3 linked regions of the Rhinolophus ferrumequinum genome follow. The protein of the gene in region 3 binds, or shares a complex with, the protein of the main gene of each other region. Links are inferred from orthologs where the notes say so. Each region holds a gene or a part of one and is shown on either strand. Other genes may lie near its edges. The genes, in order: LAMTOR2, LAMTOR5 and FLCN.

Region 1 (3,746 bases), on a different chromosome or scaffold from region 3:
CCGAAGCCGACGGTCTCCTTGGCATACATACACAGCAGTAGGTTGGCCACTCGCGTGATGGCCACACGGCCCTCCTGGTGGGGGTGACATCGTGGGATGGGAGGCCCTGCTTGGCACCCTAAGCCCCCTTTCCCCACGGGCTCCTCGTGAGACAGACTGTATCTTCCTTCCACGCCCCGGGCAGGGTTGGAGCTTCAGCTGGGGGCTTTGGCCACAGCCCTGGACATGGGGTCCTGTGCCCAGATTCCAGCCTCAGCACAGCCACGAACCAAGTCACCCCAGAAAACTCAATCTCCCAGAAACTCGGTTCTCTTTCTGTAACCCCTACCTCATCCCAGTTGCTGAGGGTACTAGCACACGGGAAGGAATTCCGGGCTCTTCTAATGGGCTATGTTATTATTATGGGTTCACCTCCAAGACACTATAAGAGGCTTGAGAGCAGAAACCCCACTCCTAGTTCTCTTTTCCAATGGCAATGTGTTTCAAACTGCACACCCGACGTCCGGGTTAGGAGATTAATTAAGAAGGTTGATTAGCATCGAAAGAAAAAAGGAAGGAAAAGAAGAGAAATGAAGAGAAATGCATTGCATGTAGTCAGGGAACTTGTTTGAGCGAGTGATTGTTTGCACGGGGCTCCAGCATCAAATGTGTTTCTTACAGCTGGGCTGTGGTCAAATGTTTGAAAGCTATTGCCCTATAGCACTAGGTCTGAGCTGGGCACCCAGGAGTCATCGGCTGAACTGGAATGCATCCTTGGCTGGAATGGGGGCCAGGAAGTGGTAGGTAGCTGAGTACAGTGGAAACCCTTCATTCTTGCGGCCTTCTCAATTCGGTTCAGCAAACTTTCACTAGGTATCCAGTGTGTGCTAGGAACCATGTACTGCCTGTCTGGCATCATCTATCATCCTCCCCCCATTCTCATGCCACTCCAGCCACATCTCCCTTGTCGATCTGTGACCAGGCACCTTTCTGCCTCAGGGCCTTTGCACTTGCTGTTCTCTCCATCAGAAATGTTTATGCCCCAGACAGCCACATGGCTTGCCAACTTCTTTCAAATCTGTGATGAAATGTCACCTGTTCAGTGAGATTATCCCTGGCGCATGCCACCCTTATCTCAATTCCTTGCTTTATTTTTCTCCATAGCGTTTTTAGAAATCTAACATACTATTTTTTTAACTTACATATTTTTTCCTTCCTCAAGGGATTAGACAAGGGTCTGGAGACTCTTATAGGCCTGTGAGTCAGTGACTCTGGCATGACAGCACTTTGTGTGTACCTCACTCTACAGTTTACATCCACTCTGTTAGTTGATCTTCACCACAGCCCCTTGAGGTGGGGACCGGGGTTTATTGTTTCCACCTCAGAGAGGAGATAAGGAAGCTCAGAGAGGTTAAGTAACTTACCCAAGGTTCCACAGACGGTAAGTGGCTGGCTGAGACCAGAACCCCAGGCAGACCCGGGGTCCAGGGCCCCTTCCTCACCACTGTGATGCACAGGGTTCTGCCTATGATAAATGGTGCTGCGGGCCAACTCTTAGCAATCTTCCCGAGATCCTGCCCCTCCAACCATCCGGGACCGGGTCCAGGTCGCCCCGGGGATCCCTTTGGGGGACAGAGGAAGTGGCTTCCCACTCCATACCATGCAGTCCATGAGGATGAATTTGAGATTGTCTTCATTAAACGCTTGGTTCCCGTTCCGGTCGTAGGCGGCCCAGATGTTACTGGCGATGGCGGCGGTAACCCGGGCGTCAGTATCCCCGTAACCAGAGTAAGCCAGCAGAGATCCCTCGTTATTCAGCAGCCTGGCGAGGAACCGGAAGGGGCAGCGACGTGCTCAGGATGGGGAGTAAGAGTCCTGGGTTCCCATCCCAGCTCCCGCCACTGGCGCTTCTAGAAAGCAAGGGTCTAGGTTGAGTGTGTCCTAGAAGGTGCCCAGAGCACCCAGGCCGTCGCTTTCCCCTTTCGAGAGGGGCCCTCCAAGGCGGCTGCCCACTCTGCCTCCTCCCTTCCCGGAGATGTTTCCCCACCCCTCCCTCGGAGAGCCGCGCGCTGCCCGACTCCAGTGCTCGTCGCTCGGGTCCTCGGTCCGCACTCACAGGGTGCTCTGGACACCTCCAGTGTTGGCTTGGCTCAGCACCTGGGTCAAAGCCTTGGGACGTAGCATGCCTGCAGCTCCCAAACCTGGGTTTTTGCACCCAGACCTCCGAACTGCCTCCTGCGGGCCTCCGCCAGCCCTTTCCGGTAGTTCAGCTGACCTGCTCCGGAACGCCCTGGGAGTTGTAGTTTCTCCGCCTGGTTTTGTAGTTTTGACTCAACCCCGCTTTACCGCGGAGGGCACTGGGAATTGTAGTTCCTTGAGGCCTCGTGAGGCATCCTGGGAACGATAGTTCGCCTTTCCACTGAGACCACGCGGTTGTGGGGGAAAAGAGCGGGAGTGAAAGGACATTGGCGGTATTGGAAGGACATTTAACCCCCTCGGGGAGAGAAAAGTCATGTCCGCTTGACAATCCACGACTCAGTAATTAAAAAAATAAAAAAATAAAATCCCTGTGTTTGTTAGGCACACCTTTGGTTGCTTTTCAAAGCAATTTTCTACATTATGCACAATTCTGGGTGATGAAGCCATAGATACTATTGAGGAAACTAAGGCTCGGGAAGGCCATGCAGGCAAAACCCAGGTCGCTGGAACAGTACCTAATAGAGTTCATTCAGGCCACGATCCTCGGGGGAATGAAATCAATTCTAGAGATGAGATTTTAGGTGGACGTCCAGAAGTGGGAAAATTCATCCTACCAGTCGGCAGAGGCCCCAGGCCCGAGAAGGATTTGGGCTTCTCAATAAAAGACCAGCTATCGCAGGGGACGGAGATAAAGCGGCGACACAGAGTCCTTTGTCCCGCAGCGGGAGTGACCCGTGGTGGGGGCAGGAGCTGTTTTGGGTCGGAGGGGACCTCGGCTCAGCTCTGGCCCGCTCGGATGGGCTGTGGTCTCCCGTGGGGCGCTCGCCCCTCACCCCAGCAGTGAGGGACTCGCCCCGCCCCCGTCCCGAGCGCCCCAGGGGCCGCCGCCCAGCGAGGCCCAGACCAGGCTGCGGGACCCCAGGCTCGGCCCTGGGCGGACACTGCTGCAGTGGCCCCCCCAGTCCGCCCGGGGCGCTGTGGCTGCGGCTGGTCCGGAGGGGGCGGTGAAGCCTTGGGGAGGGGAGGGGAGGAGAGGGGAGTGTTGGAGGCGCCGGAGCCTAGCCGGGCCGGCGGGGCGGGCGGGGAGGAGGAGGAGCCGGAGCGGGCTGGCGGGCGGCCGGGTGGCGGCGGCGGCATGGCGGAGCCGAGCGGGGCTGAGACGAGGCCCCCCATTCGGGTCACCGTCAAGACCCCCAAGGACAAGGAGGAAATTGTGATCTGCGATCGAGCCTCGGTCAAGGAGGTACTACGGTCGTCGGGGGGAGCGCGGAGGAGGGGTCCGCGAAGAGAGGGGGGTGGCTCGGGACTGCCGGGCGCAAAGAAGGGCCTGGGAGAGGAGGGCGGGGGCCCAGACGGCACTCGGAGGAGCGAGAAGGGAGGAGAGGCGGGTCAGGGGCGTCCTGCGAGGGTAAGTTGGAGGAGCATGGCACGCGTGTTGGGGAAGGGAGGCCGGGGTTTGCCTTGTGGCCTGGACTGGGGGCGTGGTGGAGAGAGGGGAGGGGGACACCTTGCGCAGGGAAGGGGAAGGACCCTGGGCTTGCGCCCCGGTTACTTATGGGGGTTCGGGG
Region 2 (3,746 bases), on a different chromosome or scaffold from region 3:
AGAATAAGCTGGCTGTTTTCAGATATCAACACAATTGGCTTTTTATTAATGCTTGTGTTAGCCTGAAGATAATAACTAAATCTTGGGTGTCAGGTACAAAAAGTAATTACCAAGTTTTACAATACATTTCCACATATAAGGGCAACACAAGCCTACCTGCCTGCAACTATGTCTGGTAATAGACATGTCACTACGGCAGAGTTGACAGATTCATTATTATATAAAACATTAACTGGACACAGTGCAGACTTGCAGGCCTTGGAAGTTTCTTAAAGGAACTCATTTAGTTTATTTCCTCACTTGAATTTCAGCCTTTCCATTAGTGAGCCTGGCAAGCAACCCCCACTTCACCCCAAAATCTGCCTTTTTTCTCCTGATTTGTGTGTAAAACCTAAGTTACACAGATTACCTCTTTCAGTCACCCTCCCAGCAAAAATTCAGAGCTTTAAAAAGTCCTGCAATAAAGAAGAATAAGGAACCCTGGGCTTACTAGTTCTGACATTAACCAGCTGAATGCTTTAGTTATTAACCTTTCTGGATTTATTTCCTCATCTGTAATTGTTACCATTTATTGAGCATGATGTCTGGGTTCTTTGCTGTTTTACACATATTAAATAATCTTACAGTAGTGTGAGGAAGAGACTTAGGAGCCAGACTCAAATCCCAGTTCAATCATTGCCTTATTATCTACCTTAGGATGAAATGACTTAGTACATGTAAAGCATTTAGAATGGTGCCTGAAACAGTAAAAACTCACCAAATGCAATTTAGTTATTATTATTATTAAACAACTACCCAGTAAAGAAACTGAGGCTTAGAAAGGCTCTTTTTGGTCCAAGTTCATACTACTAGTAAACGGAAGAACTGGAGGTTGAACCCAGCTGGGTCCAACTCGGAAGCCGTTTTTACTGCCTACTCACTTATTGTTATGTGTGGTTGGACTAAAAACTGGCCCTACCCATCTTGCAGGAGTATTAAAAAATTAGATATCAATATACAAAGCCTAGCAGTCCGAGCATATGGCACACATTTAACACATGTAACTGCTGTCATTATCTGAGGTCCTTTCTAGCACCAATGTAAAATTAGTGAAACACTATTTTCGTAGAAACCACCGTGCAGTACTAGCACTGCAAGGCACAGTTCTACCTTCATACATTTCAGTTTTCTAATCTCGTTATTTGGAGTAATCGCGACTTTCAGAAAAGTACCTAGAAAGTGGCAGGATGACAGGAAATAAAAACTAGAGAAGAACAGCACACTAGACTCCTACTCAACACGAGTGCTGTGCCACCCACCGAAGGGTTGCCGTGGAGATACTTACAGCCCAGATTAAGTCCTTGTGAATCTGTGCACAGGACTCCAACAATGGATGGATTCTTCATTCTAATGCCAGGAACATGATGTAAGAAAATGAATTTAAATAACTACAATAACACAGACAGGCTTTCTAAGTACCAGGCCTTGTGGTCTCAGTGCTTTAAATCAGTGTTTCTCAACCTTTCTCCATTATTACCCCCCACCCCGAGGAAAATTATAATGAACTAATTTAAATATGACACCCGTTTCTCTCCGATGAAAGACTGTCAGGGAGCTTTAGTGGCCACAAACATTTCATTAGCTAGGATTTTGCTGCCCTTGTTAAAAATACATGCGTTAGCATGTTAACTCACTTAAAATAGCTGCCTCCCGGAGAGGAGCTGGGCTGCCGGGGGGCACTGGTGCGAAGGAGGTGTCTCCCTGTGCGCCTCCTTATTTGGGGTTTTACGTGGAGAGTCCTCGTCCGAAAAACTGAAGGGATGTCCTTTACCTCGGGCACCCAGTGACTGGTTAAACACGGAAGCACAAGCGCTTGTGTGTTTATGTTTACGCTGCAAGGCTCGTCCGCACAGACGGTACTACACACCCTTCCTCCAGATGGACCCATTTCCTGAAACTGCCAACAACCCTGACCAGACACAATTTCCACGTGACGGGCGGTTCAGCCTCGGGCTCTGGCCGCGGAGACTCGCTCCGGAGGGAGCACACGGAGTCCGGGCGGGACTTGAATTCCGGGTTACCGGCTCCCCTGCGGCCTCGGGACACAGTTCACCACCTGCCCCCGTTGCCTGGGGGTCGCGCGGCGTCCCCTTGCCGCCCGGCTGGCACTCGCAACTTACACCCTTTGTCCCGCTCAAGTCTCTCCGCCGCGACCTCAGGGCAAGCCGCAGAAGCCGTGTCACTCACGTGTCCTCCAAGTGCTGCTCCAAGGTCGCCTCCATGTCGCCAGCCGTCCAACCCGGGCCCGGACGCCGCAGGTAGTCGCTGCTTCCTCCGCCACTGGCCGCCAGCACTTCCCGATCACATGACACAAGCGCGACGCGGGCTGGGACGGCGCCTCCGAAGGGCCAAACTTCGCGGCGCAACCTCCGCGTTGTGTGCTGGGAGCGCTCCCTCGGTTCCCGCCGCCCGAGCTGGGCCCGGGTGCTGCTGCCCGCTTGGTGACAAGTGAGGGGACCTGCGCCGGGCTCCGTCCGGAACCAGGTGGCGCAGGTTTTCCCCCGCAGGAGAGAGGTCTGCAGCTGGTCATCAGAGCCTCGGTTCCTGGCCAGCCACTTTGTTTTAGGGATGTGACCTTTGGATTCCGACTCAACCGACTCCGAAACGTCGGCGGATCCTTGTATTCGTTTTACCGTAACCTGGCGGTGGGGCAGGGACGGAGAAAAGACACAGGGGCCCGGTGAAAGGGTCCGCAGGCTTGGAGGGGAAACGACATGCCCAAGGAGCTAGAAAGAGGACGAGATGGGACAAGGTGAAAACCCCAGTTAGGTATTGGGAAAATGTTGGGATTTTAACGAAGACATTGGTTCTTCCTTTGGCGAGGGCTCAGGTGAATCTGGGAAAGAAGACTGGGTAGGACAACTTAAAAATAACTTTAAAAAATTAATTATGAAACCAGTTATAAAAATAAGGAAAGAAAGCCACCCATAGCCTCCGTCAAGATGACTATTAATCCCTTGGAGAATATCCTTTCAGCCCATTGTCTGCAAATGTATGAGTTTAATTTTTTTTTAAGCAAAGTTGATATACATACTGGACACAATTCTGTAGCTGTCCATTTTTACAGAATTTAGCATAACTGTCTTTGCATGTCGATAAGTATTCATATACATCTTTTGTAATAGTTGCAAAATAGTTACAGTTACAGCTGTACCTTGATTTAGCCAGCCCTTTATTAATATGAGTTGGGTTGCTTGTGGATTTTGCTTATATAGTTCTGTCCCTACCCGTGGTAGTGAAATTTGCAGCCCTTAAAATTCCAGTCTTGAATGTTTTGATTCAGAAGTTTTGGACACCTGCCCTGGAGAAATTAGTTATGTTAACTTAGGACAACATAATATGGACCATTTAAATTTTAGAAAAATCAGTTTAAAACTACGCTTAGAAAACAGTATTAGAAGATGAAGGGAGCGAGCCTGCTTCCCGCCAAAGTCCTGCGGGAGGCAGCTGAGCACTGCAGTACCGCCCCCTTGTGGTCCTAGGTGGCCTGGCCCACTAAAAAGTAAAAGGTGAAATTAATTTTAATAATATATTTTATTTATCCAAATAATATGTCCAAAATATCATTTCAACATGTAATCAATTTAAAACATAATACTAAGATATTTTACAACCCCGCCCTCCCTCCCCACACCCTCGCTCCCGTCTCGTGTCTTAAAAATCCAGCATATATTTTTCCACCGAGCACATTTCAATTCAGACTCACC
Region 3 (3,746 bases):
TAAGAGTAATAGTGGCACAAGTAGCATGTGAAACTGTTGGCTCTTCCAGTGTTATACGTCAGGGAGCTCTGTAAACAGAAATCCAAGTGAAGTCGGTAGATAGAGTAGAGCCACCCTGTGAGTGGGTCTGAGCAGGAAGTAATCCCCTGTGGAACTTTCCACCTTGGCTTGCTGGAATCCCAACAGGCTCCCCTGTGGGAGACTAGTTAGAGAAGCTGCAGGGGATTCTGATGCAGACCACTGGTTAAGAGCCATTTTAATACCTCAGTTAATTGCAGAGTATTCATACTTAACTGTTATCTTTAATCCTCTGTGGTCTTGTGAGAAGACCACAGGAAGTGGGGATTTAAATAGGTGCAGAGGGGGGGTGGGGGGGGACGCACCACAGAAGTGGGAGGACGGTTGGGACATCAGCGTCCAGGTCAGGCTCAGCCACTGTGGGAGCCGGACACGAAGAAGGACGCTGCTGCTTCTAGGTATTTGAGAACTTGCTTTGAGTATAATGTTGGATGGGTGAAGGTTTCTGCTTCTTCCTTATATTCTGGAAAGCTTGTTGGAAAGGAAGAACTGTTAGGCATACGCAAACCAGATTGTTTTTTTTCAGGAATGGGAGCATGAATAAAGAAGTGACCTCATGCTGCCCAGAATTTTGATTCCACTAACTGAGAGGTGGGGTTTGGCCCTCTGTTTCTCAGCTTTAGGGTGGTGCTCAGAGAGGTAAAGTAACGTGTTGACATCATGTGGCTGGTAAGGGCTGGAGACAGGCTTTTGTCCAACGCAGAAGGTCTGTGGGAGCAGAAGGTCTGTGGGACTCCGGAGCTAATTGTTATTTAGAGTACCCCACTGCCTTATAACCAAAAGTAGGACTTACATTGTACTTTTTTATGTTTCATATTTAACAAAAATATTTAAATATAACTATGTTTCAAGAGAGCCTTTATGAAGTACTGCTATAGAGGTGTAACTTCAGTCAAGGCTTTGTGTGCAGTGTCAGCCTGCTGTCAGCTACTGCTCAAAAGAGAAAGGCCTGCTAAGCCATGCAGAACCACTGGAACCCCCAAATCCTCTTTTGTGTTGCTCTAATTTGAGGTTGGCTGTAAGCTGCTTGAACTTTTTTTCATGCCACAAAGTGCATTGCCCTTAGAATTAGCTCTGGTTTTTTTTCTTTACCTAGAAAATGTCAGGTCTTAGAGCTGAAGTATGGCTGCCGTTGTCCTCCTTGACTCAGTTGGAAATGGCCTTGCATGCACTAGCCGAGGCAGGATGAGGGACGTGGTTCTGCTGAGGATAGAAGTTCGTATGGATGCGCTGCAGGTGGGGTGACCTGGGCCCAGGGCTGCTTTCATGTGGACGTCTTGCCCGAAGCCGTCTTTATTTCTCTTCTTTGTTTCTCCGAGGGAGACGTGGCCCCTTGTCCAGGGTGAACTCCTCTGCCTTTAGTTTGAGTCCCAATACCTGTCTTCAAGGTTCTTATTCCCTCAGTGGTTGCCTCACCGCCTCTTCCACAGTGGATTTGAAACCATTATTTTCCTTGACCTCCCTGTAAGGAGCCCCGTGGAACCTTTCTGTCAATTTGGTTTATTTGGTTCTGGTGACACGAGGCTCCTGGACTCGGGTTCCCCAGGGTTGCGTTTTTGAACCTCTCCTGCCTGTCGATACCCTTGATGAGCTCTCCACTTCTGTGGCAACAACTGTCATCTCTCTGTGGGCAGCTTCTAAATTCCCTCGTTTCTCCAACGCCTAGTGATTTGGTCCTTCCCGTGTGTTGGGAGCTGCTGTAGACAACACAAAGCCTCTCCCTTGGGGACGTTCATCCCACTGGAATCCAGCGGGGCGGGCATCGAGTGGTGGGCTGGAAGTGGGAGGTGACAGCTCTTCTGGGTGGGCTGACCGGGAGCTTCTCCTAGAAGGGGACGCGCAAGGAGACGCAGACTGGTGAGGAGGGGCGAGGCAGGAGAAGGCCGTGGGGGGTGTTCAGGGCCTTTCTCTCCAGGCCTGCCTTCTCTGATCCTGCGGTCCAGAATCTCCACGGAACTCGCAGGGCTTTCAACCCCATGTTCTCCCAGCTCTTAAACTCTGTCTTCTCTCCCACTGCCCACCTCCTGCAGAACAATCTACCCATGCCCCGGGTTTCCGTACCTGCCAGCCACCCGTCTCCCCATGTCTGATCGCTAGGCCTGACTTGCTGTCAGCACACCTGCCATTCTCTTCATATGTCTGTTCTGTGCCGGCCTCTGCCATTCCTGCTGTAACCACTTGAGTGTCAGCCCCTGCCCACATCAGCTGAGAGGTTGATTGCAAAACATCAGGTGGGTGGCACAGGGGGCAGGCAGGCTAGGCTGTGAGCAGGGCCAGCAGCAGGGAGGCTGCCCGGAGGCACATCCAGGGACACAGTGCAAATAGATTTTGAGGGTGCTGTCCGCCAGGGGACACCCCATCCCTGCTGTGCGTGTTCACACTGGCTGCTGCTTTGCCTCCTTTCTCGAGGTTCAGCGTCCCAGACAGGCACCTGTGACTGGCCGCGCCACGGCCGTGCCCGTGCTGCTTACGGGGTGAGGACAGAGGATTGTGATCTTTGGCTCCACAACGGGGGATGGGGTCCCCATAGGAGAAGAGGGTTTAGAACCTGGCCACTGTCCACTCCTCAGACATTCCGAAACTTAAATGATTCCCCATTGTTTTGAGCAAGGCTGTCCGATAGAACTTTCTGTGATGATGCACATGTTCCATGATCTGCACTGGCCTTTTAAAATGGTGACTGAGCCACGTGTGACCAGTGAGACTGAGGAAAGGGGCTTTTCATTTTACTTACATGTAAGTTGCCACATGACTCATGGTTACTGGATTGGACAACATGGGTCTAGAGAATACACGTTCCCTTTTTAGCTTGGCTTTCAGGCCCTTCTGTGTCACACGGGTCAGGCCAGCTGGGCTGCCACTGTCCTACATCTATGGCTTTGCTCCTGGGTTCTCTCATTTCCGGACCTCTCCTGCCTGTCAGCCGCGTGGACATGTTCCCACCTGGAAAGCCTTGCCCGATTTTCCCGACCAGAGGGCACTCGTGTCTGCGTCCCCATCCCCTCCCTCAGCGACGGACAAGCTGCTGACTTGCTGCCCAGGCCCAGCCCCCACGACCTCCTCCAGGACTCGGCCTCTCCCGTGATTCTGTTTTGCTCACTTTGTCTCTGGAGTAACCCGAGTTTGCTTCACTGTCTTTCGTTCTCTGTCCCCCTTGCCAGCTCTTTCTCTCCCTCACATCTAAGCTCTGGAGGGCCCCAGACCCCATCGAGGTGCTCCCATCCCCCCCAGGACTGCCCGCCCCCCTCCGCTCTGCCCCCAGATTCCATCAGCTCCTGTGGAGGCCCAGCAGGCACTGCCTCTTGCCCTGCCCCTCACTTGTTCTTCTCCTGCTGCCCACATTCCTTTAGCTTTGCTCCCGTCTTTACGCTCCCGCCCCACCCCTGAGCAGTGCTGGCTCTGCTATGGGAACAGCGTCACAGTCTGACTGTCCCTTACCACCTCCCACCGCCCACCCTAGCCCAGGCCACCGTCTCTTCTCCCGAAAGGCAGTGGGAACGCCACAGCTGGTTTCCCTGCTTCTGCCCTGGCTCCAAAGTCTCTTTCCTGCACAGCAGCCAGAATGATCCTTTTAAAATAAGATTCCAATGTATCATGTTTCTCATCAGAACCCACCAAAGGCTCTCCAATCTCTGAAAAAAATTCAGGGTCTTCCCATGGCCTGGAGG

The links.
Region 1: FLCN (region 3) and LAMTOR2 share a complex: the UniProt entries of both Homo sapiens proteins name them as parts of the lysosomal folliculin complex. The link is inferred for Rhinolophus ferrumequinum from reciprocal best matches to the Homo sapiens genes FLCN and LAMTOR2.
Region 2: FLCN (region 3) and LAMTOR5 share a complex: the UniProt entries of both Homo sapiens proteins name them as parts of the lysosomal folliculin complex. The link is inferred for Rhinolophus ferrumequinum from reciprocal best matches to the Homo sapiens genes FLCN and LAMTOR5.

Annotation. Positions count from the first base shown.
Region 1 is NC_046305.1:672,731-676,476, reverse strand, and holds the start of LAMTOR2 (ragulator complex protein LAMTOR2), read right to left. Parts: upstream 2,275-3,746; 5' UTR 2,164-2,274; coding exon 2,096-2,163; intron 1,802-2,095; coding exon 1,639-1,801; intron 75-1,638; coding exon 1-74. Other genes in the region: UBQLN4 (ubiquilin-4), read left to right, coding at 3,314-3,421. UniProt on the Homo sapiens protein: As part of the Ragulator complex it is involved in amino acid sensing and activation of mTORC1, a signaling complex promoting cell growth in response to growth factors, energy levels, and amino acids.
Region 2 is NC_046305.1:42,347,250-42,350,995, forward strand, and holds the start of LAMTOR5 (ragulator complex protein LAMTOR5), read right to left. Parts: upstream 2,376-3,746; 5' UTR 2,262-2,375; coding exon 2,227-2,261; exon of another isoform or gene 2,160-2,226; intron 1,387-2,159; coding exon 1,325-1,386; intron 1-1,324. UniProt on the Homo sapiens protein: As part of the Ragulator complex it is involved in amino acid sensing and activation of mTORC1, a signaling complex promoting cell growth in response to growth factors, energy levels, and amino acids.
Region 3 is NC_046304.1:1,500,868-1,504,613, forward strand, and holds the start of FLCN (folliculin), read left to right. Parts: upstream 1-797; 5' UTR 798-1,200; coding exon 1,201-1,314; intron 1,315-1,375; exon of another isoform or gene 1,376-2,309; intron 2,310-3,746. UniProt on the Homo sapiens protein: Multi-functional protein, involved in both the cellular response to amino acid availability and in the regulation of glycolysis.